Callithrix jacchus: one gene and its partners. The main gene of each other region encodes a partner of the protein of the gene in region 3 in a complex. Links are inferred from orthologs where the notes say so. Each region holds a gene or a part of one and is shown on either strand. Other genes may lie near its edges.

Region 1 (6,939 bases), about 19 Mb from region 3:
GTGATTTTGCATTTTTTGTAGCTGTAGTCCCAGCTACTTAGAAGATTGAGGTGGGAAGATGGCTTGGGTCCAGGAGGTTGAGGCTGAAGTGAGCTGTGATTGTACCACTGCATTCCAGCCTGAATGACAGAGCAAGTCCCTGTCTAAAAAAAAAAAAAAAATTGGCTGGGTTCAGGGGCTCATGCCTGTAATCCCACCACTTTGGGAGGCTGAGGCTGGTGGATCACTTGAGGCCAGGAGTTCGAGACCAGCCTGGCCAACATGGCAAAACCCTGTTTCTTCTAAAAATACAAAAATTAGCTGGACATGGTGGCACATGTCTGTAATTCTAACTACTTGGAAGGCTGAGGCACAAGAATGGCTTGAGCCAGGGAAGCAGAGGTTGCAGGGAGCTGAGATCACATCATTGCACTCCACCCTGGGTGACTCAAAAAAAAAATACATACATACATATATATATATATATATATATATATATATATATACACACACACACACACACACACACATATAGTTCTTTTCCCTTTTGGGATCTATGGACTCCTTTAAGAATTTGATTAAAATTTCAAATCCTCTTCCTAGAAAAAAGTACACACATGCATATATTTTTGTAGATGTACACATGCATAAAACTTTGGAAAATATTACAGAAAGTTCGACTACCGAACGTCATCTGTGCATATATTGAGGGTCCACAGACACAAGACCAAGCATTCCTGCTTATTTCAATTTGATTTTTTTTCTTTTTCTTTTTTTTGAGACGGAGTTTCACTCTGTCGCCCATGCTGGAGTACAGTGGCTCGATCCCGGCTCACGGCAACCTCTGCTCTCCGGGTTCAAGCGATTCTCCTGCCTCAGCCTCCTGAGTAGCTGGGACTACAGGCGCACGCCACCATGCCCAGCTAATTTTTATATTTTTAGTAGAGACAGGCTTTCACCATATTGGCCAGGTTGGCCTCAAAACTCCTGACCTTGTGATCTGTCGGCCTGCCTCAGCCTCCCAAACTGCTGGGATTACAAGCGCCCGCCACCACACCTGGCTTTTTATTTTTATTTATTTATTTATTTATTTTTTGAGACGGAGTTTCTCTATTGTTACCCAGGCTGGAGTGCAATGGCGCGATCTCGGCTCACTGCAACCTCTGCCTCCTGGGTTCAGGCAATTCTCCTGCCTCAGCCTCCCGAGTAGGTAGGATTACAGGCACGTGCCACCATGCCCAGCTCATTTTTTGTATTTTTTAGTAGAGACGGGGTTTCACCATGTTGACTAGGATGGTCTCGATCTCTTGACCTCGTGATCCACCCGCCTCGGCCTCCCAAAGTGCTGGGATTACAGGCGTGAGCCACCGCGATTGGTTTTCACCATGTTGGCCAAGCTGGTCTTGAACTACTGACCTCAATGTGACCCGCCCATCAAAGTGCTGGCGTGAGCTACCACGCCCAGCCTGATTTTAATTTGAATTCATTACCTTAAAAATCCCTGGATTTAACATAAAAAATCTAGATTTTAGACGTCGGAAAAAAATGTAAAATATTATCTCCCAAGACTGCAGGCAAGTAGATCACAGTCCTGAGTAGCAACCGCGGTCTCTAGTGGTTACGGTTCTCACATCCATTTCGCTCCATTTTATTACCTGAGAGGACTGGTAGTTTCAAAACCTGGTATATCAGTAACTTTTAGGGAAAACTGCACACACGCACCCCTTCTTCCTTCTCTTTATTTGAAAGGAAACAACGGAAACAAATTTGCAAATCTTTTGCGCCAGTCCCACGGATAGGCGACTAACAAGAGATACAGAGGTGTGGGTCCCAGAGGCGGTACGGTGTTTTCACCCCTTCCGGATAGCTAGTACGACCTACCCACCGCGACTAAGCACAAGGAGTGCTGAACTAAGCTATGCAAAGTTCTGACCAGAAGGTGGAACGGTACTTAGTGAAGAGGATTTATTTAGGAATCGAAATCGGTTTTGCTAAATTAGACAAATCTCATTGTCTAAGGAGCCACGCCCTGTTCGCAGGAGGAGAGGGAAGACAAACCAACGCCCCAGCTCTCCAATGGCACCTCAGCTCTGAACTAGACGCACTCTACAAGGATGCCTGGGTTTCCGGAGCAACCGCCCGGTCCCTCCCCCTTTGGCCCCGCCCCCGAGACTCCTTCCCGCCAAAGGCCGTTATCGCCGCAGAGCATGGTGGGACAAGGCTCTAGGCTAGGTTTCACCAAGTCCTTTCAAGGCGCCGAGTTGCTTTCAGAGATCCTCATTCCTGGGGAAACTGACTGTCCTTCAAGACCCGACCTGGAAGACTAGCTCCTTTAGAGAGAGTTCTTTATTTAACTTTTACCAAACGGCCACTCTATTCGCAAACCACCCCAAGCCGGGAACGCGGGGGACTTTTTTTCCCCCTTCGTGCGGAGGGTGACGTCGCGCGTGCGTGCGCGCGCGTACGTTGAACGTAGTCTTCGCAGCGCGTGCGTGTTGGGATCGAATCGCTGTTTCCTTCCGCTTCTCTTCCTCTGTCTCCCCCCCCCCCCATATCCGTGCGCCGAACTGATAAAGGCGCCATTTTGGAGGGGCCGCGGGAGACGTGGTGCCGCTGCGGGCTTGCTCTGCCGTGCGCTAGGCTTGGTGGGAAGGCCCGTTCTCGAGTCCACGTTTTTCGTCGCCGCCATGTCGGGAGGTGGTGTGATTCGTGGCCCCGCAGGGAACAACGATTGCCGCATTTACGTGGGTAACTTACCTCCAGACATCCGAACCAAGGACATTGAGGACGTGTTCTACAAATACGGCGCTATCCGCGACATCGATCTCAAGAATCGCCGCGGGGGACCGCCCTTCGCCTTCGTTGAGTTCGAGGACCCGCGGTGAGGCGGCATGGGGCTTGCAGCCTTGAGGAAATAGGTCCGAGTGGTCGGGGAAGACTCCAAGGCCTTAATATAGAGAACGGGAAGGCGGGGGCTCTTAGAGAGGATGGGGCGAGACTGTATCGCCCATGCAGGAGTCGAGTGAGGAGCTGAGTTGGTGTGGCTTCTCTGGCGCCTCGCCTTGGACGTCCCCGGAGCCCATTCGCAGGCTGGAGCGGGAAACTGAGGCGCTGAGGGCTGGTGTAGTGGCTGGGAGCCTGGCGTGTTTCTGGGTGGGGGAGGGGTCATTCCCATTATGCGGCGCATGTGGGCTCTTCCACGTTGGGTGCGCATGTGCGGGGGGTTCGCTGGTTCCCGACTGAGCGATCTTCTCCTCCTGGTCTTTCTCATGCCTTTTACTGTCTACGATCCCGCAGGGACGCGGAAGACGCGGTGTATGGTCGCGACGGCTATGATTACGATGGATATCGTCTGCGGGTGGAGTTTCCTCGAAGCGGCCGTGGAACAGGCCGAGGAGGCGGCGGGGGTGGAGGTGGCGGAGCTCCCCGAGGTCGCTATGGCCCCCCATCCAGGCGGTCTGAAAACAGAGTGGTTGTCTCTGGTAAGTCTACCGGTTGTGTGGTTGATGTGAAGGGACGGAAACTACTTAAAAATTTTCTCTTGCGTGACCGGTTTAACAATTGCAAATTTTTCATGCTAGGTCTTAAATTGCTTTAGTTTTTGGGTGAATTTAATAAACGAGGATTGCTGCTGTGGTGATTTACCAAATTAGGTTGCGGTACTAGATACGAAGATCCGTTACAAATAATTTTGGACTCTGGATTCCAGAATCTTACCAGCTCTTTACCTGGTATCACTTAAGTACAACTATTAAGTATTTTAAAGTACTCTTTGTCCTAATGTACCTTATCAGCTTAACGTGAAATTTAAGATAATTGATACTAAGAAAAAAAATCGCTTTTTCAGGACTGCCTCCAAGTGGAAGTTGGCAGGATTTAAAGGATCACATGCGTGAAGCAGGTGATGTATGTTATGCTGATGTTTACCGAGATGGCACTGGTGTCGTGGAGTTTGTACGGAAAGAAGATATGACCTATGCAGTTCGAAAACTGGATAACACTAAGTTTAGATCCCATGAGGTAGGTTATATGCTTATTCTTTTTTTTGACCAGAATTGGATACAGTGGTCTTAACAGTGGAATTTGAAGGTAAGGATTCAGGCAAGGGTGTCCAAGTAAATTGCCAGATTTCTGGTTTTAGTTACATTGTATTCATTCAGCATGCCTGAAGCTAGGTGAAAGCTTAGATCTTTCAATGGAAAGTTCTGTCTATCCAATAGGGAGAAACTGCCTACATCCGGGTTAAAGTTGATGGGCCCAGAAGTCCAAGTTATGGAAGATCTCGATCTCGAAGCCGTAGTCGTAGCAGAAGCCGTAGCAGAAGCAACAGCAGGAGTCGCAGTTACTCCCCAAGGAGAAGCAGAGGATCACCACGCTATTCTCCCCGTCATAGCAGATCTCGCTCTCGTACATAAGATGATTGGTGACACTTTTTGTAGAACCCATGTTGTATACAGTTTTCCTTTATTCAGTACAATCTTTTCATTTTTTAATTCAAACTGTTTTGTTCAGAATGGGCTAAAGTGTTGAATTGCATTCTTGTAATATCCCTTTGCTCCTAACATCTACATTCCCCTCGTGTCTTCGATAAATTGTATTTTAAGTGATGTCATAGACAGGATTGTTTAAATTTAGTTAACTCCATACTCTTCAGACTGTGATATTGTGTAAATGTCTATTTTGCCCTGATTTGTGTGAACTGGGATGTTGGGGATGTTTATGGTTATCTTACCTGGGGAAGTTCTTATGTTTATCTTGCTTTTCATGTGTCTTTCTGTAGACATATCTGAAGAGATGGATTAAGAATGCTTTGGATTAAGGATTGTGGAGCACATTTCAATCATTTTAGGATTGTCAAAAGGAGGATTGAGGAGGATCAGATCAATAATGGAGGCAATGGTATGACTCCAAGTGCTATTGTCACAGATGAAATTGGCAGTATTGACCTTATACTAAAAGGCAGGGGGGTAAAAATGATTATATACATTTTCCTTAAAACACTTGAATGTTTTATTCAGTTACCTTTAGCTACAATTGCTTTACCTTTTAAACCTTGGCAATTGTGGCAAAATTATGTTGCCCATTTTGTAGCAACTTATTTTGCTCCCTTCCCCCCATTTTTGTTATAATAGGGACTAATGTGGGAAGAACTGGCTAATTTGTCGCAGTGCTTAGTTACAACTGTTAATGTGTGACCTGCTGTTGGTGTACATGTGGGTAGAGGGTGTCTTTAAATCCAACAAGATAGAGTATAATATCAATACTGCTAAATCTGCATGTCCTCTGTGTGACTGATAGAGCGTTGCTATTTCATTTTTTTAAGACAAAATGAAAGCAAAATAATAGAGTTCCAATGTATTGGTGTAGATAATCTAGTTGGGAATACTTAGGTCTCACCTTCCCCTTTAATATTCATAATTGATTCATATGTTTAAAACACTTTAATTTACAAATTAAATTGCAAATGGGAGCATTAGATTTAGTTTTAGATTAGGTGGGTAGCAATGCCAGTAAACTTAAATTACATAACTTCTTGCAACCACGAAACCTGTAATACACTGTACAGTAACAAGTGTTGGCATTATCAGTTGAACTGTAAATATAAGATGCTTCTTCCAGTTAGTCTCTATGATGATTAAGTTTCTAAAATTTATCTGAACACCATTCAGAAACTTGTTTTGGGGAATTTGATAGTTATTGATGTGCATCTGTTAAACTGATGACTGACATAACTCATCATTCCCCAGAAACCTTTTTTGATTACAGTATCTAACGTTTTGCCTCCTCTTTTTTGGTTTTGCTGGTTATAAAGGTTTGGATTGGAGAGGGCTCACTGGATCCCAATCCTTGGAGCTGGATCATTGGATTCAAATCATAATGTGGATAGGATAGGGAGGATGAATTACCAGGATTCATGGAGCGGGATCAGATTACCAGGAACATAGGAGTGGATTCCTGCCCCAACCAAACCGCATTCGTGTGGATTTTTTTATTCAACTTAATTGGCTATTCCAAAGATTTTTTTTTTTCCTATTTTTGACGATTGGAGCCCTTAAGATGCACGATGGAATTGTGTTTTGCATTTTTTGGTAAAAGGAGCAAAGCGAGGACCTGGAGATAAACGCTGGAGCAATCTCCTTGGAAGGATTCAGCACGAGTAGATGGTAAACATTTAAAGGGGAAAAGGGGGGGGTTTGTTTAAAATAGTAAATCAGTAAGTCACTTCTAAATTTAAAGAAAACAAAATTGGAGTTGAAGAATAAGTAGGTTTCCAATTGGCTATTGCCATTTTTCTTTGAAAAAATAAACATTTTTTAAAAAACTATGCATGGTTGTCCTTTTTCCTCTTCATGTAAGATTCTAACTGGGTCTGTCAGTTAATCTTTAAATTGTTAAGTAAGATTTTGACTCTTGTGTTTATATGTTAGCAAATTAAAAGTTCTTAAAAGGCAATCTAATGGTATTAGCTATCTTTTATTGTTAATTGTAAAAGTCTTCAGGGGAAGGCAAAAGGGGAATAAGGCGTTTGTATATGTAATGTAAATGATGGTGGGGGGTGGGTCTAGCATCTGAAAGATAAGCTTCTCAACTTTGTAAAGTGATTTAAAAACTACAGATGCTGCTTATTTTCTGGTAGTCATATAGGCAACAGGCTTTTGTGCAAAATTGGTTGATGGCTAGTAAATTAATTTTCACTTGGAAATAGTTTTGATATTCTCAAACTCACCTCAAAAAAAGGTAAGTATTAAATGTTAACATCAGCACAGATGTATTATTAGAACTGGTTTTTGTTTTTGAGACAGAGTCTAGCTCTATTGCCCAGACTGGAATGCAGTGGTGTGATCTGGGCTCACTGCAACCTCCACCTCCTGGGTTTGAGTGATTCTCCTGCCTCAGTCTCCCGAGTAGCTGGAATTAGTGTGTGCCACCTCGTCCAGCTAATTTTGTGTTTTTAGTGGA
Region 2 (6,261 bases), on a different chromosome or scaffold from region 3:
CATTGGGGGCGTCTCTCCAAACCTTCCCACCTCTTACACACCGTGAGACTGAGATAGCACCTGGCCTCTCTGTGCCTCTGCCTCCCTCTACTTTACCTGACATGACCCATGGCACTGCCTCCCATTCTAAACCCTCAGCAGGTGTCCCGGTGCTCAATCATCCTCCAGGAAATCCTGCACCTATGGGCCTCAGTTTCCCCATCTGTTTTCTGAGGCCCTCCAGGCCTGCCAGATGGCCCAAAGCTTCACTACCAGGGAAGTCCTGCGCCCAGACATCCCCCAGTGGAGCTGGCTTCGTCTTAGCCCACTCACCTTTGGCAGCCTCAGTTCGCTTGGGCAGGTCCAGCGTGTCAAAGTTCCGGTCCATCTCACCATCTTTCTTTCCTAGAAAGGTGGCGGGCGGTGAGGCAGACCCCATAAGGTGCATGGGTGTGTCAGGAGGGGTGAATACAGTTCTCTCCTGCCCAGGCCCCAAAAAGCACCCCCACATCCGGGCCGGGGCACTAAGAGGCCCTGGGAGTAGAGCACTGCTGTCAGAGTCTGGGCTGACAGTTTAGCCCAGGGGAAGGAGTTGGTGGCAGTGGGGCCTGGAGTGTCCCAGCCCTGCCCCTAGGACTCATCTCCCACCTGCTGCTGGGAGCTGTCCCTCCCAGCAGTTCCACTGCAACTGCCAAGTGTGTAGACCGAGGAAGTCAGGAGCCCTGGCTGGATGGCAGGTGGATGTAAGCGGAGAAACTGAAGGCTGACCGGGACAGGACTTGCTTGGCTCACACAGTAAGGCAGAGCTGGGTAAACTCCCCCAGTCTGGGGTCAGGACATCATCCAGGCTCTACGAGCCAGGAGAAACTCCACAGTAGCCCACCTAACATCTGTGCAGCCACCTCCGTGACAGTGAGCCCTGTCTCAGCCACTCTCCCTGTCTCAGACGATGCTTCGACCCTTTCAGGAGGCAGCAGAGCAGAACCAGATGACCTGGGGTGCCTGCCTGCTCACCCTCACGGGACACTTGTATCCTCTGAGCCACATGCTGCCCCATTCTATCAGAGAAATAGACTCTGCTCCCAGGTGTCCCTAGACACAAGCACAGTGCGGGCCCTGCCCACTCTTGGCTCTGCCCAGGTACGAAAGTCTGAGGTTACAGAGTGAGACCCTTGGCCTCCCCACCTGCCACTGTCATAAAGATGTCTGTCCAAGTGACGAAGCCAGGGCTGGAGCAGGGCCCTGGGGCTGGAGTGTGCTCCCCTCTTCCCAGGTGCCCACTGCACATGCCAGGCCTGGAGAGCAGGATGAACAGGGACTCACCTTGGTGGAACCACTCCTCTGGGCAGCCGGAGAAAGCAGAGGAGAGAGGAGAGGAGCCTGAGTGGGCAGCACCCGTCACCCCCCGTGCCCTCCCAGAGGCCTCAGGTTCCCACTGCACACCCTGGACCAAGCAGGCAGCATGTGGAACTTCATCCCACCACTCTGGGCACTGAGCATCCACCAGTAAGACAAGAAAGGGGAGGCCTAGGTCAGCGGAACAGGCAGGCGGTACACAGGACCCCACAGCTGCTGGGGAGGTCCCGGGAACCTATACCCTGCCAGTGCAGTGAAGGTGTGCAGGGCACCTCGCCCAGGAAAATGGGCTGCTGCACAGGCTGGTGGTGGTCTATAGCCAGCATCAGCCATGGCTCCTCCCCAACTTGTGGGCCAGTGAAATAAATTCTCCCCAGGAGTGGAGAGATTGAGTCTGGGCACTGATGGGACCACCTGGTTTCCACTGTGTCCTCCCTGGGGGTCCCACAGTGCAGATGGGGAAGGCTGGAGCTGGGCCCCATCAACCATGTGACCCAAGGCTGTGCAGCCTCCTTAGCTCCCTGCTTCCCTGCCTGCCTGCTGGGGGCTGACCAGGTGTCCTCTGGCCTCCATGATGGGCTGCTGTGGGTATACAGAGAACCTTCAGCTAGGGTAGGAGTCGAGAGTGGTACCCCAGTCCACCCCACCCACCTTTGGCCTTCTTGCCACCAAAGCAGCTGGCATCATCCCGCCTTCGGCGCTGGGAGCCTACAGCACTGCCCAGGGGCCCAGGCTCGGCCTCCTGGTATCTGTCGGCCCCGGGCACCTCCTTGTGCACGTGGTAGGACAGATTCCGCATGATGCACACGCAGTTCTCCACCGACTGCAGGGAGAGGTGAGTGGCTGGGGCAGGGTACCCTCAGCACAGGGCCAGCCCTAAGGGAAGACTGGCCACAGCTGGTGTGCATTAAAGCATCGGGAGCAAAGGGACAGGGAGGCCTCAGTAGATGGGGGGGGGTGGCAAAAGGGTGATAACTGCCAGTGCCAGGGAGGGTCCACAGGAGGAAGCCCCTGCCGCATGGACCACCTTCCACCTACAACACTGTGCCCACTTCAGTGTGGCCACTGCAAAGCAGGCTATGCCCAGGGCGCCGCCTCAGACCCTCACACTCATTCTCCTGTGCTGCCCCCACAGCTCTGGCCTCCCAGGACCTGCGTGATGGTCTCTCCCGCCCTTGGCATGAGGCTGTGACTGTCCCCGCCCACCTTATTGTCCGTGTCCTTCCGGCCCACCGCTGACTGCAGGGCATGCAGGAGCGCGTCCACCAGCCCTTCACACTCCCGGAGTCGCCGCCGGGCCTCGGCACCATCGGAACTTACATTCCTGTGTGACCAAGAGCAGGCCAGGTGACCCCTGGCCACCAGAAACTCCCCATCCCCGCCCTGACCTCAGGAGCTTGTCTTCATTTGCAAAATAGGCCCTGCTGCTGCCCTCTCAGTCTACTGGGAAAGGACCCCGAAGCCCGGAGCTCAGTGAAGCGGGAGAAGCTAACTGCCCCCAGACCTCAGGAGGGGGCCCTGGCAGACAGCTGTCTTGGTTGGGGACAGCTGGGCAGGGGAAGACAGGGCTTCCTGTCATCTGGGGATGACCTGGCAAGGGACAGGTAGACTCAGACCTGAACCTGTGCAAGAGCAATTCTGGGTTCCTTACCACCCCAATGGCAGCTCTGGGCCCCACCTTGCCCCAAGGTAAAGAGCCTGAAGGGTTACAGGGGAACACCCTGACCGACAAGCAGGACTGTGGGGACCCAGGACACTGTGGGGTTGGCAGAGCCTCCCAGGGGTAAGAGGGGAAGGGCAGAGGTCACAGGTGGCTGGAATGAGCCTCCCAGGCAGATGAACAGGAAGGTCCCATCTCCCCCTCTGGCTGTCACATGATGGAAAGGTGGGTGGAAGCTGGGCAGGGCTAGGGTACCACAGAGACCCCTCCAGAGGGTGCCCCTGGGGAGACTGAGGCACCACTTGGGGGCGAGCACAGCCCCTCAGGCCCCACGTCTCATCCACAGGGCTTGTGCCACAGCTCTGAAGTTCCAAAGGTCCAGGCGGCTGGCCGCCATCTTCCATGCTATCTGGGACCATGAGGACGGGGCCTGGTGTGCATGTGGGCTTTAGCACTGGGTCTGCTCCACACCTCAGGCAGCCCGACGTGTTCTTGAAGACAGTTGTCCACTCAGCATCCCGTGGCTTGGAGTCCTCGTTGGGCTCACGCTCCCACCCTGAGTGGGGCACGATGACCTCGTGGGTCAGCGTCTGTAGGCCATGGTCAATGATGGCCATCTTCAGGGGCTCATAGGATGACAGGTTCCACAGTGTGCCTGTGGGGTGCGATCGGCCAAGTCCTGCTGACCACGTGCACTGCCTCCCACCTCCCCAGGTGGCCACGCTCAGGACCCGTCCCACTCTCCTCCTGTCCCAGCTCACACACAACGGGAGAAGTAACAAAAGCCGTGAGTGGTTCTGGGGGGCACACAGTACCGGCTTCCAGCCAGGAAGGTGCCCCAAAGGGGATGAAGTGCAGAAGAAGGCATGGCACTGCTGTTCCTTCCTACCCACTCCCTGCCACGTGGCAGGTGGCACGAACACTCTCAAGGCCACAGGGCCTCATGGAGACACGGTCAAGTGACCCCACCTGTCTCTAAGGTCCTACAAGGCGCAAGCTCCACCACTGTACTCTTGGGATGGGAACCAAGGAGGCGGGTCCCAGGGGAGTTTCTGTGGGGTCAGGAGGTGAGGGCATGCCTGGGGGGCCTAGTGTCAGCCTCCCCGCTATGGTAGAGACTGGGGAACGTGTCACAGTGTCTAGACCTGACGCCTGCCTCCCGGGGCAAGCGTCTCAGCAGCTGCACTCCTGCCAACCCGCACGCTTTCCCGGGCAGTCGCAGGCCAAGTGGCCTTGTTTCTCCCGGGCTGAACCCCGCACCCTTCGCTTCCCAGGGATGTGGGCACAGCCAGGTCCACTCACCAGTGACCAGTTCGCGGACCTCGTTGTCCCGGGCGGCCCGCAGCAGGCGCACCAGAGCAGGCACACCACCACAATCCCGGATGGCGGCTTTGTTGTCAGTGTCGCGGCCATAGGAGAGGTTGCGCAGTGCCCCACAGGCCCGGCGCCGCACCTCAGCCCGCGGGTGGTCCAGCAGTGCCACGAGCAGTGGCAGCCCCCGCAGCTGCCGTACACGCCGCTTGATTCCCTCGTTCTCAAAGCACAGGTGCTGCAGGTAGGCAGCCGCATTGGCCTTCACGGGGTCCACGGGGTGCCTCAGCATGGCCAGCACCTCAGGCAGCTCCGGGTCCCGCCAGCGTGGCTCCTTGCGGGCGCTATCCACCGACGGTGAGCGCCGTACCAGCCGATCCAGGCTGCCCAGGCTGCCCCGTTCAGGCTGGGCCAGGGGCGCTGTCACTGCTGAGAACGCAGGCCGCTCACCCAGCAGTTCACTGCCATCATCTGCAGCATCCTCGTAGGCCCTGCACAGGCGAGTGGGGCACATGGGACATCGTCACAGCAGCCACCAGCCCTGCCTCTGAGCTGCCCCATCACACCTTCTTCAGGACTGCAAACTCACCCAGCAGGGCTGGGCTGGGAGCACAGTATCTCAGCCCCAAACATGGCTGGGGCATGGAGAGTCATGCACCAGCCCAGTGAGAACTAATTTAGAGCCAAATGCCAAACCCCAGCCAGCAGCTATCAGTCCCCTGGCAACCCTCCCAGGACAGCAAGCTCGCTTACTGCTGTCACCAGGCGGTGTTCCCCGATCCCGAGCAAAACATGTCTCTGTGCAACATCTGCTAGGGCTGCTGGAGAGCCCACCTCCCGTCCACGAAACCACCCATCTTCCATGAAGCCCGTCTCTGCCTGTGCCAGCATGCAGGGGGAGTAAATGACCCTCTCCGCATGAAGCCATCCCAGTAGGACCACCGAGGAGCATTCATCCGGCCACCAGACCCTTTGGGCACAAGATCTCCATAGCTCTCAGTAGCCCTGTGGGTTGCTGTCATCAAACCCACTGGCCCGAGGCGAGGAGTGGCCAGGTGACTTGGCCAAGCTCGCAGAGCAAAATCCAGACTTGGGTTGTGGTCATGTCTCCACTCCAGAGAAACAGAAACTGAGGGCAGTGGAGACAGAACCAGGGTCTGTGACAGGAAGGGCCAGGGCGGGCCAGGGCTCTGGGTTCTGGTTATCCAGGGTATGGCTGCAGCAAGGCCAGTGGCCGGCACTCTTCCCAGCTTTTCTTGGGCCCTGGGCCTGCAGGACGGTGCCCAGCCGAACTCCTACCACCCCAGGGCCTACCTTTCTTCTGTCTCTGACAAAAGCCAAGGACAACTCAAACTAACATGCATGACTAACTCAACTGCAGCCACTTGACAAGTGGAGCACCCTGTAGCTGGGGGATGGAGGGTGGACTTCCCAGAGGAGGCAGCCACAGGGGACAGGGTGCAGCTCACCTGGTGTGAAGGCCCCGCCCACACTCAGGCCTCCTCCTCGTGGCTGTGCCATAGTCAGGCTCTAGCTCAGGGCCGCCCTCATCATCAGCGGCCAGGCTGCGCGTGTCATCCTCCAAGCCATATGGCTCTGCCTGGAAGCGCTCGGGCAGGGAGCGGCCACCTGGTGGCCCAGACTCAGGACCCACAGGGAAGGCCTCCCGGTGGCCAGGCAGTGTGAAGCAGCCATCGCCAGGGCCTGGGCCAAGCGGGCCAGCACGTGGGGGCCGCATGCCCAGCCCTCGGGACAGGCTGCCATAGCTGGGGCCGTCCCGGGGCTCGGGGCCTTCGGGAAAGCTGCCCCCACTGGTGAGGTAGGCTCGAGAAAGTGTGGCCACTGGGCCACCACCACGCAGCAGGAAATGCCGGTCCAGGGCACCATCGGCAAAAGGGCCTAGTGGGGGGCCGCCATCCAGCAGGGGGAGTCCGTCCGGGCCCAGGGGCACCTGG
Region 3 (5,807 bases):
AAGACTATATTCATATAAACATTGGTGCCCTGGAACTGAGTGCAAACCACAACATTCTTCAGATTGTGGATGTGTGTCATGATGTAGAAAAGGATGAAAAGTAAGTTTTAATTAACTCTGCTATGTTTGCTAACAAGTTTGCTGTAAAATTGAGAGATCATTGATGTTGAGTTAGGTTATTTCAGTTGGTGTGTTCTACTTCATTTAGTGTTAGCATATTAATTCTTTTGAAAATCTCTTGAATCTTTCAAATAATTGGCTGTAATCATTTATAGCATTCCTATGGAAGAAATTCGTGTGTCCCCTGGTTGACTTAAGGACCAAGGGTCAAACTGATTGATAAGTGAGTGGCTTAGCAAGTGTTTCTTTGACTTCTAGCCATGTAAAATTAAACCTAATGTTTTGCTGACTGTAAATGTGTGGCCATAGTGATGGTCTTTTAAAACTCAGGGTTTTCTGGCGGTGGGTCGGTTTAAAAAAAAAAAAAAGAAACAAAGGATTTTCCTTTTTCTCTCTTACTAGACTTATTCGTCTAATGGAAGAGATCATGAGTGAGAAGGAGAATAAAACCATTGTTTTTGTTGAGACCAAAAGAAGATGTGATGAGCTTACCAGAAAAATGAGGAGAGATGGGTATGTGTGGGCTCCTGCATTGAAGCAGATTTATTAGAACTGAGCTTAGGAAAGGGCGAACTTGGATCAGGAACAGTTGATTTAAGTTTCCTATCTGATAGTATGGGTAAAATGATGTATGTGTTACTTGTGGAATTAAAGGGATCTGTGAATAAAGTGATTAAGCAGTTGAGTCTTGAGGTTTTTCAATGTGAGTTTAATAATACAACTTGTCTTTTAACTTAGGTGGCCTGCCATGGGTATCCATGGTGACAAGAGTCAACAAGAGCGTGACTGGGTTCTAAATGGTAAATATTTCAAATGAAGCTTTTGCCCCTCCTTAATCTAGCTAGAATTCTGCTCAGATAATTGATCATTTGTATGCCTTCCTTTTTGTAGAATTCAAACATGGAAAAGCTCCTATTCTGATTGCTACAGATGTGGCCTCCAGAGGGCTAGGTTAGTACAAACTCGCATTCATGGCTTGGTTTCCCAGAAGATCTCCATTTAACTTTTTTAAAGAAAGTTTATTGCTTTCTTTAACCTCTGCATTTTTTCTTAAGTTTTTTTTCACATAAAGGTGCAGTCTTTGTGGCAAGGCCTAGGCATGACAATCGGAGGACTCGAGGGGGATGGAGGACTAGTGATCGGCTGGCTGCTTCCAGTCGATTAGAGAGGTGAAAAGCTGAACGTGTGCCAGTAATCTTCAAAAGGCAGAACATACCACCTCTGCCCCGTAAACTGTTCTCTCCGAGGGAAAATAAGGAAGTTATCCTCACAGTTCACTGCCGTGGTATTTCTTCTGTCCCATGCTTTGCATGACTGCCATGGTACAGCATTGTTTCAAACTGTTCACTGTGATCTGTGGGTCTTTGAGTTTCAGTGAGTTTGCTGAAATGTCGAAGAAATATTTCCAAACTTCAATGTTCAATGAAATTTTTGTTCAAGTTTGAAATGGAGAGAGCAGCTTTAAAAGGTACTAAAGCCTTTTACAAATTGGTGAGTACTGGCACATGAGATGTAGAGCAGGAGCAACTTCTCACACTTAAGTCAGTGGGAAAAGAAAGTGCTTTGAAAGTTCCTCCCTCACCTACACAGTAGTCGTCATGTCGAGACCTGCCAGAGAGAGACACATTCTCAAGTGAATCCTGGCTTCTTGGAAGCGCTTGCCTAGACGAGACACAGTGCATAAAAACAACTTTTGGGGGACAGGTATGTTTTCTTGCAGCTGCGGTTGTAAGGTCTTGGCAAGACAAGCAGTGTGGCCAGAGAATTTTGAACTTCTGATAAATGTGTAATGCAAAGGACCTTGTACATTTTTTTGTTTCAAGGTCCTCAAAATGAGCACATGAAGAGGTTGCTGTGAAACTTTAAGTGGCCCTACTGCGCAGAAGCATTCAGATGTCACTTGATGATCTGTAAGGGAACTTGCTGATTTGGGAATGTGCTAGGGATACACATTCCTTTTGACAGGGTCTGTCATTGGGTGGGTGAAGACTTAACACAGATGACATGTGCTTTTTTTTTTTCTTTTTTCAATCTCAAATGGTATTCCTACAGGGAATGGATAACCATTTTAACTGTATTTTTTGCAGCCCGTACCTTCTTGGGAATACAATTGTCTAACTTTTTATTTTTGGTCTGGCTGTTGTGGTGTGCAAAACTCCGTACATTGCTATTTTGCCACACTGCAACACCTTACAGATGTGGAAGATGTGAAATTTGTCATCAATTATGACTACCCTAACTCCTCAGAGGATTATATTCATCGAATTGGAAGAACTGCTCGCAGTACCAAAACAGGCACAGCATACACTTTCTTTACACCTAATAACATAAAGCAAGTGAGCGACCTTATCTCTGTGCTTCGTGAAGCTAATCAAGCAATTAATCCCAAGTTGCTTCAGTTGGTCGAAGACAGAGGTTCAGGTAAGGATGACTGATAGGAAATGTTGGTAGTTATGAGTCACATCATTGTCTACAAATCCATTTAAATGGTATTGGAGGGTGAGTAAAACCTTGAATGTGAAAACTTGTAAAACACATTTCAAACCTACAATGAATAGATAAAATTCTTTCTGTCCGCACTGACTTGTGTCATAGACATAATTGATCAATTTGCAATTGTTTTCTTGACAGGTCGTTCCAGGGGTAGAGGAGGCATGAAGGATGACCGTCGGGACAGATACTCTGCGGGCAAAAGGGGTGGATTTAATACCTTTAGAGACAGGGAAAATTATGACAGAGGTTACTCTAGCCTGCTTAAGAGAGATTTTGGGGCAAAAACTCAGAATGGTGTTTACAGTGCTGCAAATTACACCAATGGGAGCTTTGGAAGTAATTTTGTGTCTGCTGGTATACAGACCAGTTTTAGGACTGGTAATCCAACAGGGACTTACCAGAATGGTTATGATAGCACTCAGCAATACGGAAGTAATGTTCCAAATATGCACAATGGTATGAATCAACAGGCATATGCATATCCTGCTACTGCAGCTGCACCTATGATTGGTTATCCAATGCCAACAGGATATTCTCAATAAGACTTTAGAAGTATATGTAAATGTCTGTTTTTCATAATTGCTCTTTATATTGTGTGTTATCAGACAAGATGATAGTTATTTAAGAAACATGAGAATTGCAGAAATGACTGCAGTGCAGCAGTAATTATGGTGCACTTTTTCGCTATTTAAGTTGGATATTTCTCTACATTCCTGAAACAATTTTTAGGTTTTTTTTGTACTAGAAAATGCAGGCAGTGTTTTCACAAAAGTAAATGTACAGTGATTTGAAATACAATAAATGAAGGCAATGCATGGCCTTCCAATAAAAAATATTTGAAGACTGAATTAAGTGGAAATTGTACTTTATTTTACATATGTCATGTAAACTTTGCTTAGATGATTTTTTTTTAATCATGAAAACGAATGACGGCTCTTTTTTTATTTAATTTGGGAGGCGGCGGGGAATCAGAAGGCCCTTCTTTACAATGAGCTATTCATATTTCTGGAGTCAAAATGAATTGATTTAGGTGAATTTTTAATATTGGATAAAAGGTTTGTTAGCTCCCAACATCAGAGGAGTTATTTAATAGCCTGCTTCCTTATTTGCTAGTATGGTTAAATGAGAAAATAGAAGAATAGATACAAAGTCATCTGTATAATGTGAGAAGGTGGGTGACTTTGTTTTGCAAATTTATAATTTAAAAAGCTCCAAATAACTGGCTTTTTCACGAGATTTATATTCATGCTCTTGGCTATACTGTGAATTATTGAAATGTTGAATGAACCTGGGAAAGACGTTAGTCCTTTAAGATGACCAAGAGCTAAGCCTGAGTCTCCTTGATTGAATTTGCCCAATGTCCTTAGTGCAGGTTACTTGTAGATTATAGTTTTCACAGGCTCCCTGGGGCTCTTTTCACTTTAGTCACACTGGGAGTCATGAATGTCTTTCCAATAATTCAGGGAATTCTAGAGATCTTCAAACTGTAAGGTCTATTCATACTCTAACACAAGGAACAAACCTCATTAAAATTAATGGCTAATCAGGAGGCAACATAACCAAAAGCACAGTGAATACAAGTTTTCATGTTAGATTCAACATGGGTTTATTGCTAGACCCAGGAGATAGCTTTAGATTTAACTTTGGCTCACCAACCTAACTTTCTGATCATGTATTTCAGTAATAGCTAGAAATGGGTCTGAATGTTTTCCCAGAGTCTGACATAATGTGTCTTTTGCCAGAAGAGAGGTCTCAAGGAGACTTCATTTAAATTCTGATTATTGAACTGAGGCTTTAATTGTTGTTAATGCCTTATGTTAAATGTAAAGTTAGATTTTGCTAGGGCTGGGATGGGGAGTATTTCTAGAACTTAAACATTGAAAACTAATTCAGCCTCTAGTAACCTGGATGGTTTTCAGTGGCATGGTTAGTCAAATTCATGGTTTTAAACTTAGAAACAGCTTTTGTGGGAGGTGGGTAGGTTGGAGCATTTATTACATATTTTACTGTTTAATGTCTAACCGTGGGCCTTTTAATTTGTAAACACTTACTGAAATGATTGTGGGACTGTGGAAAACATTTACCTATTTACCTTTGAAGTTTTAAAAGACAGTCCACTTTTTAGCATGTGTGTTGTGTCCAGCCTGTGGTTGTCTTAACTAATAAATGTGATTTTTCTCCCCATTCTCTCTCTTATTTATTTGCGTATAGGCCTCTTACCTGGTGTGAGTTCCTGAAAGTGGAAAACACCTGGCAGTAGTACCTAGCTTTGCAGTTATTTACTATATTTGCTTTCCAGCAGTACTGTTTCACTTTCTAGCTTGCCTCTTTTTAAACCCTTGTACACACTTGTAAAGAACTGTTTCCTGAACCTGGTACGGCACTTTGCTAATGATACAAAACTTTACTCCCAAGTTATATTAAGTCAATTGCTAAGCTGTTACCCACTCATAATCAAATGGTAGTTTGGGAGTCCAGTGAAATAGAGGTTGTTCCTTTCTCCTGTACCTCTGTCTTTAAAGGTTTCTGGAGCTAAGTGAAACTTGTATAAGAAATAATGGGCTTTTAAAATCAGATTTCTTCCTTAGTCTGGGTATACAACTTTTCCTCTTTCTGGGCAGTTCTTCCCTATTTAAATAGAAATTGTAAAGTCAGAAACCTGTGATGTAATCATGGGTCTTTTAAAAAACAGTCACAAGTCTCGTTGTTTTGATGACCCCGTACAAGGAGCCCCTGGAAGAAATCGCAGATACGTTAGTGGTTTTCTGTGCATCACCAGTGTTTGGGCCACTTGGTTTATTAATCGTGCATTTCCAGGTGAGGCGGATGCTGCTGCCTGGGGACTGCCTTTGGGAAGCCACTGCAATAAAGTGATTACCACTACCCCTGTCCCAAAGCCCCACTGCAGCCTGGGTGCTTAAGCATCAAGACCACGGCTCGGGTTAGGCCTAGGCCCCCAGGGGGCGGTATTTGCTTAAGAGTTACGGCTTGGGTTTGAAAAACCACAGTGGAGCACTAAAACTGTTGAACTTGCCAAATTTGATGTAAATTCCCAAATCGCCATTTGTATATGCCTCAAGGTGAACTGCTTTCAGATTGAGATATATCTAGATGATTTGGGTAACGGAAATACTTTAATTTTCTGGATTGCCAAACTGGGGAAGGAAGGTAAAGCTGACATAAGTGGCTATGGC
Region 4 (6,225 bases), on a different chromosome or scaffold from region 3:
CCCCTATCCTCCACTGTTCTCAAAAACGAGTTTGCTCCCACATCATCTTTTATTTATTTACATATATATGCATGCTAATCTTTTAATATAAGTAGAATCATACTATGTATATTCTTTAATATATTTTGGAGATCTTTCTGGGTCAGGGCAGATAGTTTTTTTTTTTTTTTAATGGCTACATTGCATTGTTTTAAGGATAAAGTATAATTCATTCAGCCATTCCTCTAATGATGGCTATTTAGGTTCCCCATTTTTCCCCATTACTAACAGTGCTGCAAGGAACATTTGTAAGTATTTCTGTTGACTAGATTCCTGGAAGGATTCTAGCCATGTCAAAGGCTATGGAAACATGTATTTTTTACATAGTTGAGATTGTAAAGCAGCTGTGCTCTTGGGTCACTTACAGTTATACCATAAGTAATTTCTCATGTTATTAAATATTTTTGTAACTTTTAAAATATGTGATATTCCAGTTTTTTTTAATAAAGTACTTTTCATAGAATATATTGCTCCATAAATCTTTGTCTGAGTTTCATATCATCTCCTTAGGGCACATAACTGAAATGTATTTGCTGTCAAAAGGTGTCATACATATTATCAAATTGCTTTCAGAATATAGTGGGATTTATCAAAAAGGAAATAGTTTATATCAATTGTAACTCCTCTAGTAGTGTATTAGTTTGTGAACCCTGGGTAGCACTGATTTACGGTCACTGTTTAATTTCCATTATCTTGATGGGTGAAAAATAAGGATTAGTTCTGGTTTTAACTTGCTGGAAATTGATGAAATTTGAATATTTCCAGATAACTCTCCTGTATCCTCCTATACCTATATTCTCCCATACTTAATCTGTTATCAAGTCCCACAGATTCCACTTTTTTTCAGTATGTGTGGATCATATCTTTTCTCCATTTTACTCCTGTTGCTTAGACAATTCCTTTAACATATCTTTAAGAGACTAGTTTTTTTTTTGAGACCTTTTGCATTGAAAGAGACGAGTTCTAACTAATTAATCTCAGTAGTTTCACCTCAACCCCCTTCTGTTTTAGTGCCACACTGTTGCCAGGGTGATCTGCCTGAAAGGGTTTTGGTGAAGTCACCCCACATACTCCCCAGTTTAAAAGTCTTAAAAGGTGTTTAGTGTTTGTATATGAAAGTCTTTGGGATCTGATCTATGCCTTGCCAGCCTTTTCTCTTGCTTTTCCCTCTCCTGATTGTGCTTCATCATAATATAAAAAATTTTGTTTATGGATCCCTAGACAGGTTAGTCTGTTTCATTTAACCATTTGGCCTCCAAACAATAGAACTGATCAACTGCTCCCTCCTTAATACTGTGCTTACACCTCACCCAGAGGGTCATGGCAATTATAATGTCTATTTGCATTTATGTCTTTAATAATTACATACAATCCCCCTGTAGGACCATAAGCCCTTTGTGGGCTTATTGATTCTTGTATGCTAGAGCCGAGTATTGGACTTGGCAACTACAAGATGTTTCTAAAATGAATGTGTGAATTCCCAATAATGTCTTTTTTTCATTTATCTCTGAAGCCTAAATATATCCCTGATTTTATTGATTTGCCTACATTTTTATATAAGGATATTATATAAAGAACTTATATAACTTGTGTTTTGTGTTTTAATTATTGTTTAATCTTTTGATCTAGTGAAGTTTTTTATGTTTATATATTCAGATATAGCCATCTTTTATTTGTTGACATCTCCCATTTATTTGTTGCTGTTAATTTTTTTTTTTTTTTTTGAGATGGGATTTTGCCCTGGTTGCCTAGGCTGGAGCGCAGTGGTGTGATCTTGGCTCACTGCAACCTCTGCCTCCTGGGTACAAGCAATTTTCCTGCCTCAGCCTCCTGAGTAGCCGGGATTACAGGTGCCCACCACTATGCCCAGCTAATTGTATCTTTAGTAGAGATGAGGTTTCACCACATTGACTAGGCTGGTCTCAAACTACTGACCTCAGGTGATCCACCTGCCTCGGCCTCCCAAAGTGCTGGGATTACAGATGTGAGCCACGGTGCCTGGCCAATTGCTGTTAATTTTTAATGGTATCCAACACGTAATAGGCATTGAATAAATAACTGTTAAAAAATGAATGAGTTAAAAATTTGGTGAATTCTTTTTTGTTTATACAGATGTCTTACAGCAAAGCTGTCAGCATAATTGAGTTTTCTATTAATAGTTTGCTTTTCTCTTTTACTGTATTAGCATTTTTCCATGACAGTAGTCTTCTAATTTTTTTTTTCCAGCTACACCAAAATTGTGTTGAGCCAAACTTGCCACCAAGAGCCCAACAGTCACCATGATGCTGAGCACAGAAGGCAGGGAGGGGTTCGTGGTGAAGGTCAGGGGCCTACCCTGGTCCTGCTCAGCTGATGAAGTGATGCGCTTCTTCTCTGATTGCAAGATCCAAAATGGCACATCAGGTATTCGTTTCATCTACACCAGAGAAGGAAGACCAAGTGGCGAAGCATTTGTTGAACTTGAATCTGAAGAGGAAGTGAAATTGGCTTTGAAGAAGGACAGAGAAACCATGGGACACAGATACGTTGAAGTATTCAAGTCTAACAGTGTTGAAATGGATTGGGTGTTGAAGCATACAGGTCCGAATAGCCCTGATACTGCCAACGATGGCTTCGTCCGGCTTAGAGGACTCCCATTTGGCTGTAGCAAGGAAGAGATCGTTCAGTTCTTTTCAGGGTTGGAAATTGTGCCAAATGGGATGACACTGCCAGTGGACTTTCAGGGGCGAAGCACAGGGGAAGCCTTTGTGCAGTTTGCTTCGCAGGAGATAGCTGAGAAGGCCTTAAAGAAACACAAGGAAAGAATAGGGCACAGGTACATTGAGATCTTCAAGAGTAGCCGAGCTGAAGTTCGAACCCACTATGATCCCCCTCGAAAGCTCATGGCTATGCAGCGGCCAGGTCCCTATGATAGGCCAGGGGCTGGCAGAGGGTATAATAGCATTGGCAGAGGAGCTGGGTTTGAAAGGATGAGGCGTGGTGCCTATGGTGGAGGGTATGGAGGCTATGATGACTATGGTGGCTATAATGATGGATATGGCTTTGGGTCAGATAGATTTGGAAGAGACCTCAATTACTGTTTTTCAGGAATGTCTGATCATAGATATGGAGATGGTGGGTCCAGTTTCCAGAGCACCACAGGGCACTGTGTACACATGAGGGGGTTACCTTACAGAGCCACTGAGAATGATATTTATAATTTCTTCTCACCTCTTAATCCCATGAGAGTACATATTGAAATTGGACCCGATGGCAGAGTTACTGGTGAGGCAGATGTTGAATTTGCTACTCATGAAGATGCTGTGGCAGCTATGGCAAAAGACAAGGCTAATATGCAACACAGATATGTGGAGCTCTTCCTAAATTCTACTGCAGGAACAAGTGGAGGGGCTTATGATCACAGCTATGTAGAACTGTTTTTGAATTCTACAGCAGGGGCAAGTGGTGGCGCTTATGGTAGCCAAATGATGGGAGGGATGGGCTTATCCAACCAGTCTAGTTATGGCGGTCCTGCTAGCCAGCAGCTGAGTGGTGGTTATGGAGGTGGTTATGGTGGTCAGAGCAGTATGAGTGGATATGACCAAGTTCTCCAGGAAAACTCCAGTGACTATCAGTCAAACCTTGCTTAGGTAGAGAAGGAGCACTAAACAGCTACTCTAGATATAAAAGCTGTACATTTATGGGAGTTGAATAGAATGGGAGGGATGTCTAGTATATCCAGTATGATTGGCATATGGGAAATATTATTGATACTGATCACTCTTGGTCAGCTTCTCTTTCTTTATCTTTCTCCTTTTTTAAGAAAACAAAAGTTAAGTTTAACAGTTTTGCATTACAGGCTTGTGATTCATGCTTACTGTAAAGTGGGAGTTGAGATTATTTTGAAACTTCAAGTTCAGTAATTTTGAACACTGAAACATTCATCTAGGACATAATAACAAAGTTCAGTATTGACCATAACTGTTTAAACGATTTTTAGCTTTTCTCAAGTTAGTTATGTTGTAGGAGTGTACTTAAGCAGTAAGCTTATTTAGGTTAATGCAGTTTCACTTATGTTAAATGTTGCTCTTATACCACAAATACATTGAAAACTTTGGATGCATGTTGAGAAACATGCTTTTCTGTAAAACTCAAATATAGGAGCTGTGTCTACGATTCAAAGTGAAAACATTTGGCATGTTTGTTAATTCTAGCTTTTTGGTTTAATACTCTGTAAGGCACGTGAGTGTACACTTTTACTTTTTTTTTTTTTAAAGGATACGGGACAATTTTAAGATGTAATACCAATACTTTAGAAGTTTGGTCGTGTCGTTTGTATGAGATTCTGAGGCTTTGGTTTAAATCTTTCCTTGTATTGTGATTTCCATTTAGATGTATTGTACTAAGTGAAACTTGTTAAATAAATCTTCCTTTTAAAAACTGGAAAAAATCTTGCTCTGATTTTTATTATGTTCTGTCATATGGGCACACTGATTTTATAATTCCCTCTTAAAAATTTTAATTTAAAAATTATATTTACATCTTTATATGTTCATTGTTGCATATATCATTAGTTATTTCTAAGATACATCCCTAGAAATGGGATTGCTGAGTCAAGGATATACCCATTTTTAAGGCTTGTGATTTGTGTTACCAGAAAGATTCTGGTACTTTATCTTTCTACCTAGAGGACTGTGTGTTTTATTTTTCCCCCTCATACCCTCCTTATTGATGTACGTTAGTTTTTTTGATCTTTGCCAGTTTGTTAGTTGAGAAATGATATCTTTGCTATTTTAATTTGTATTTCTTTGATTAATATTAAAGTTGAACATTTTCTTTAAAAAAAACTTATTACCATGTCTACAGGACTGTTGAACTACTTTTGGAGACTGTTCTTACCAATATAGTATTCTCTAAAATCCAAAGAAGTGAAAGCAAATAAATAATCCTTTTTATTTCACCACAAACTAGAAGGCACCTTTGTATGTTAAAAAAGAAGTAGGCTTACAATTATTATGTGTTGAAAACAAAACATAAAAATGAAGCAGGCTTATGTTATGGCAATAAATTATCTCTTCCATGAATTTATTAGTAGAGTCTCTAAACACTCCCAGGTGTTTTTTAGGGCATCTAAAGCTTATCTTAAACCAGTGGTTCTCAAAGTTTCATGTGCATCAGAATCATCTGCAGGGCTTACTTAAACATTCATTTATAGGCTGCATCCCTAGAGTTTCCAGTTCAGTAGTTTTGGGATGTTGCTTGAGAATGTGCTGATGCTGCTGGTCTCAAGACCATGTTTTGAGACCCATCACAGTTCCCCAAACAGCAACTTTAAGGAGCAGCTTCCTTTATGATCCCTGATTTCCTCCCCTTTGTTCCTGTAACAAGTAGTTTAAATTTTCTATTAAAGTCTCAATCACGTATTTACAATGCCTCAGACCTCCCAGGATTCTGAGAACCCGTGGTATCATGCTGATATCTTAGATTTCTGTCTGAACCACAGTGGTTATTAACAATTCCACACCTCAGTGACCTTCAGGTCCTGATGTCCCTCTGATCAGTACCAGCTGTACCTTGAACTACAGATCTCTTTGTAGATTTGACCACTTGGGAACTGGATTGCTCTATGTGGGCTGTTTACGGCTTGAGGGCCAGAGAAATGAGATGGGAGGCAAATACCAAGTTGGTATTACCCGACTCCGTTTCATTCAGGAAATGAAAATCAATTCCAAAAACTCATTCAAGCCAAAGGTGCAGTGGGACATGATTTGAGATTCTTTGCTGACTTCTAATTTTTATCACAGCTCTCAGGAGAGCAAGAAATCCATTTTGACTCCTATCGTGTTGAGTCAGTCCTTGTCCTTCAGGAAGCCTTTCTTGGAGGGTAAACAAGTAGGTGTTTTTTGCCTTTCCAGGCTACTCAGTTAATTTTCTAGAAGTTTCTCTGGATCTGGGCAAAGATTCTCAAGTTAGCCACTAGATGGCACCAAATCTCAGGAAACAATAGACGGCTCCTGTGGTCTTAGATGTTGGCTTACTTCGCTGGATAAGAAAACTCAGAAGGTCTCTGAGGAGCAAATGAGAGAACCTGGAGAAGGTCAGTGGTCAGCAATAGAGGTATGCAAAGGGACAGCAGTACAGCTGGTGTGCACATGCGTGTACACACCACCACTTGTGCTCCAACATGCAAATCTAACACTATCCAGG
Region 5 (4,051 bases), on a different chromosome or scaffold from region 3:
AATCATCAGCCTACTGCCTTGCTTTCTCCTGGGAGCCCTGTTGCCCTTCAGAAAAGTGTAAGGATATTTTCAGGGACTTGCTTAAGCTTTGATCAGTTTGGATTAGGAAGAAAACTGCTTGTATCCCATTTGCCATTCCAAATTTTCAAATATCTCAACCAGAGCTGGAGTGGAGACTGCATCATTACAATGAAAAAAATAAAACATATAGAACTAAATAAGGGTCAAATGGGAAATTAGTGAGGTTTTTTTTTTTTTTTTTACCTTTCTTCATTTCCTTTTCTTTTTTGAAGATTTTCCCTGTTTCTTCCATAATCATGGCATCACCTTTCTCACACAGGCTCAGTACCGACACACCTGAGCTAGATGCTTCCACCAAGGACCGAAGTACCCCTGAGGACAGAATGCCATCATGTCAGCCTTGTATGTATTTATTGTCTAGTTACCACCCAAGGAATACCTGGAAGCTGGACTTAGGAGTCTGTAATACTCTCTAGTGCTACTGCCCCGAGGCTGAAAGGACAACATTCCCTTCCCTTCCTTATTACGTTACAAGTGGGTATATACAATCCATCTTCCTAGGCAAGGCCTTGGACTTTCCAAAGATGCTACCTTTGGTGTGACAGGACAGAGTTATGAACTTTAGAGGGTTCTTGCCAAGGTATGCCCACATACACGCAAAGACAAGATGAAATTTATAGGCATCAGGGACAACAAGAAGGTAGACAGAATTGCAGACTCGAAGCTGATGCATTATTAAATGTTACCGCCTTCCTTTCTCAGACATTCTAATTAGGTGTTAGGAATCTCAACCTATGTAGACTTATTTCCTCATAAACAAGAGTATAAGCCAAAGGGGCTTAACCTAAGGTCCCTGGGTTTCATTTCAGGGGATCATGGCTTATCTCAAAGAGATGTGAGGCCAAATTTACAAAATTTATATCTGAGATCACAATGGCCTGAAGTTATAAACTGCAAAAAAGAGACTTTCTGATTCAAACTACTATCTCAAATACTAACAGGCACCAAAAACCAGGGTACTATACTAAATGTCCACTGTGCACAGGTTTGATTTTTGAAATCTCAGTTTTGGTGATTCTTTGAAAGCTGGTAAAAACTCAGATTTTCACCCACAGGACCGGAGGCATCCTAAATACCGCTTCCCCACCATCTTTGCTGTTAAAACCATTTAAAAGCTGGGCACAGTGGCTCACACCTGCAGTCCAGGCACTTTGGGAGGCCAACGTGTGCGGATACCTGAGGTCAGGAGTTCAAGACCGGCCTGGCCAACATGGTGAAACCCGGTCTCCACTAAAAATACAAAAAACAAGCTAGGCATAAGGACATGCTCCAGTAATCCCAGCTGTTGTGAGGCTAAGGCAGGAGAATCGCTTGAACCCAGGAGGCGGAGGTTGCAGTGAGCCAAGACTGCGCCATTGCACTCCAGCCTGGGCAACAAGAGTGAAACTCTGTCTCAAAAAACAACAACAACAAAAACCAAAAAACCACACACACACACACACCCCAAAAAACATTTAAAAGCCCACGGACAAGCAGTTTCTATCTCCCTGAGTTTTAAGTAAAATGGAAAGGCGAATTGGAAAGAGAGAAAAGAGAAAGTGACATCTGCCTACAGTGACAGGCTACTGCTGAGATCGTCAGAGCACAGCTTGAATAAAGATGACTTGTGACAATCCTAAAATCAGTCCTCTCTTTTCCAGTACTGTTTGCAAGCTTGCCTAGTTGGGATAAGACGGGGACTCCAAAACATTTGAGTTGTCAAGTCACTGAGAACAACAAATGTGAATGCTAACTAAGGCTATCTGCACAGATTGGAAAGGTGGTAGTAATGAGTAACTTCAAGAAAAGCCATATATATCTCCAAGACTTTGGTTAGAAGCTCCCGGAGTGCCCTCCAACGGATCCCTTAGCTGGTCCAAGGGTAGAAGGGGGCCCCCACCAGGGTAAGAGCTGAAGTAAAGGAAAGGCTCCAGCAAAGCACGTGGCAAGGAAGCTGGTGTCAGGGACAGTAGTGGAGGAAGAAGGGGGCCAGCCATCCGCAAGGGGACCCAGCAACACGTGCGAGAGGCTCGGCTCCTGAAGCCCCAGAGAATCGACAAAACAAGAGGGGGGCTTCTGTCGCCAATAGCTGGGCGCTTCCTTTTCGAGGTGGCCTCGCCGCTGCCAGAATCAGATGAAGCAGAAATCGGGACTGAAGGATTGGAACAGGAGAAAACCTGTCTTGCCTCCTAACAAACGGCCTCGGGTCGGAGCCTGCCAGGGGTCCCTCTCTGCGCTCATCCCAGTCGCCGGCCCACACGTCCACAGACTTCAGCCTGGGCCTGGCCACTCAGGTCCCAGGCGCTACACCCGGTCTTTCCACCACGCCGCCCCCAGAGAACCGGTGCGGACCCCTCGGTAGCTCACTCCGCATGACCCCTCCTCTCCAGCCCCTTTGGGGCCAGCCTGGCACCTTTCCCTGTCAGCTTTGATTCCCCGACCCCTGAGGCCGCACTCACGGTTGGCGATGTCGCCCCCCATCTTATACTTGGTCACGACCAGGTCCTCGGCGATAGTTTGCTCCTGCTGCTCGTCCTCGCCCGACATCTTCCTACCACCACCACTGCAGCCTGGTTTCCCCTGAGCCGCCGCCTCTGTCCCCGTTCCCAGCCTCAGGCTGTGGTCAGAGTCCCCTAGATCCTCGAGGAGAGGGCGAGCGAAAGCGCGAGCAAGCAAGGGAGCGGGCAAGCTGGCGAGAGCGAGAAGCTGCGAGCGCGCGGGCTGAGGCGCAGGGCACGCTGGGACAACTAGTCCTCTTCACCGCCAGCCTCTAGCCGCCCTCGGGGGCTTGAGAACTACAATTCCCAGCCTGCCTCTCGCCCTCCTAAGCCAGGCCCAGGGGCCTTGCCCTCCAAGGGCCTCGCACGCCGGAATTGCCGGGCACGCTGGGAAGGGTCAGGCTCCGGCGGGAAGGCGGAGCCGTTGGGGAGCTTGCGGGGAAGCGTGGTCTCTCCCGGAAAAACCACTTCCACCGAGAACTCTGAGCGAGAGCCCGTAACAGAGAGGGGCGGGCCGAGGGGAGAGGGGCGGAGCTACGGCGGGGAAATAGGTTTAGAGGCAAGGGTGGAGCCGGGGCGGGTGGGCAGTGTCTACACCTAGGGCGGGGAAGCGGGGTGCGCCCTTCCTTGGATCCCTCGATCGGCTGGCGAAACCCGCCCAGCCGGTCCAGTAGTCCTGCGAAGCTGGGAGAATAGGGAGAGGCAGACAGATGGAAGAAGACCTAGGGTGCTGGGAGCAGGGGCTAACTGGGCAGCCAGAATCCGGAGGGATCATCCATTTAAAGGCCTCCCAATCTAGAGGCTGGACTCCTTAAAGAAGTAACATGACATTGTTCCAATAACAGGCTGGATGGAGCACTTAAGGGAAGTGTTCAGAAAGACAGATGTTTGTTGAGAGCGCTTACTGTGAAAAAACAAAATAAAAAGATTTGGTGACTTTTCTAAGAATGAATTCAGAAACACGTAGAGGTTTCAGTATTTGGCCTCTGAAGGAGACCGGACACGTATATAGTGCTTTTTATAAGTCCCCAAGCACGTGGGTTATTTGTTTTTGTTATTCTCAATTGTTTTTGCTTTGTAGATTCCTACTAAAACCCCAAAGGACTATAAGCTATGCTTGTTCTAAAGAAATACAAGTAATAATAGGACTAGAGAAAGCTGCATGGGACGGAGTAGCATTGTCAGAAGACAGAAAGGTGACTGTCCTCTGCTGAGGAGATCTATCTAACATATGAAATGTTTTCATTTGACAGACAGGAAGCTGAAAAAAACTTTGGCATTTTTATTCAGACATGTATAAAAACAAAACATTTCAGTGATACAACAGATATTTTCCCTCAGTTCCCCATCCAAAGGAACAGAGGCGTGAAACTGGGTCTTCTTTCTATCCTACCTGGAAGCTTCTTACTGCTGGGATGAGAATGGCTCCTAAAAGTGAATCTTGGGGGAATCCTTGTGAATCTGCCCTCAGATAAGGAGTAAAGATCATTCAC

What was found.
Region 1: DDX5 (region 3) and SRSF1 share a complex: the UniProt entries of both Homo sapiens proteins name them as parts of the ribonucleoprotein complex. The link is inferred for Callithrix jacchus from reciprocal best matches to the Homo sapiens genes DDX5 and SRSF1.
Region 2: DDX5 (region 3) and ARVCF share a complex: the UniProt entries of both Homo sapiens proteins name them as parts of the ribonucleoprotein complex. The link is inferred for Callithrix jacchus from reciprocal best matches to the Homo sapiens genes DDX5 and ARVCF.
Region 4: DDX5 (region 3) and HNRNPH2 share a complex: the UniProt entries of both Homo sapiens proteins name them as parts of the ribonucleoprotein complex. The link is inferred for Callithrix jacchus from reciprocal best matches to the Homo sapiens genes DDX5 and HNRNPH2.
Region 5: DDX5 (region 3) and PA2G4 share a complex: the UniProt entries of both Homo sapiens proteins name them as parts of the ribonucleoprotein complex. The link is inferred for Callithrix jacchus from reciprocal best matches to the Homo sapiens genes DDX5 and PA2G4.

Annotation. Positions count from the first base shown.
Region 1 is NC_133506.1:108,328,218-108,335,156, forward strand, and holds the start of SRSF1 (serine/arginine-rich splicing factor 1), read left to right. Parts: upstream 1-2,543; 5' UTR 2,544-2,666; coding exon 2,667-2,860; exon of another isoform or gene 2,861-3,276; coding exon 3,277-3,461; exon of another isoform or gene 3,462-3,826; coding exon 3,827-3,999; exon of another isoform or gene 4,000-4,199; coding exon 4,200-4,386; exon of another isoform or gene 4,387-4,759; coding exon 4,760-4,782; coding exon of another isoform or gene 4,783-4,798; 3' UTR 4,799-6,939. UniProt on the Homo sapiens protein: Plays a role in preventing exon skipping, ensuring the accuracy of splicing and regulating alternative splicing.
Region 2 is NC_133502.1:211,747,651-211,753,911, forward strand, and holds part of ARVCF (splicing regulator ARVCF), read right to left. Parts: coding exon 5,776-6,261; intron 4,798-5,775; coding exon 4,298-4,797; intron 3,651-4,297; coding exon 3,467-3,650; intron 2,660-3,466; coding exon 2,542-2,659; intron 2,159-2,541; coding exon 1,987-2,158; intron 1,321-1,986; coding exon 1,303-1,320; intron 385-1,302; coding exon 313-384; intron 1-312. UniProt on the Homo sapiens protein: Contributes to the regulation of alternative splicing of pre-mRNAs.
Region 3 is NC_133506.1:89,759,827-89,765,633, reverse strand, and holds the end of DDX5 (putative ATP-dependent RNA helicase DDX5), read left to right. Parts: coding exon 1-100; intron 101-522; coding exon 523-633; intron 634-858; coding exon 859-920; intron 921-1,011; coding exon 1,012-1,071; intron 1,072-2,316; coding exon 2,317-2,541; intron 2,542-2,751; coding exon 2,752-3,155; 3' UTR 3,156-4,797; downstream 4,798-5,807. UniProt on the Homo sapiens protein: Involved in the alternative regulation of pre-mRNA splicing; its RNA helicase activity is necessary for increasing tau exon 10 inclusion and occurs in a RBM4-dependent manner. Binds to the tau pre-mRNA in the stem-loop region downstream of exon 10.
Region 4 is NC_133524.1:97,711,277-97,717,501, forward strand, and holds the end of HNRNPH2 (heterogeneous nuclear ribonucleoprotein H2), read left to right. Parts: intron 1-2,265; 5' UTR 2,266-2,318; coding exon 2,319-3,668; 3' UTR 3,669-4,468; downstream 4,469-6,225. UniProt on the Homo sapiens protein: This protein is a component of the heterogeneous nuclear ribonucleoprotein (hnRNP) complexes which provide the substrate for the processing events that pre-mRNAs undergo before becoming functional, translatable mRNAs in the cytoplasm. Binds poly(RG).
Region 5 is NC_133510.1:63,563,934-63,567,984, forward strand, and holds the start of PA2G4 (proliferation-associated protein 2G4), read right to left. Parts: upstream 2,801-4,051; 5' UTR 2,608-2,800; coding exon 2,520-2,607; intron 394-2,519; coding exon 265-393; intron 1-264. UniProt on the Homo sapiens protein: May play a role in a ERBB3-regulated signal transduction pathway. Seems be involved in growth regulation. Acts a corepressor of the androgen receptor (AR) and is regulated by the ERBB3 ligand neuregulin-1/heregulin (HRG).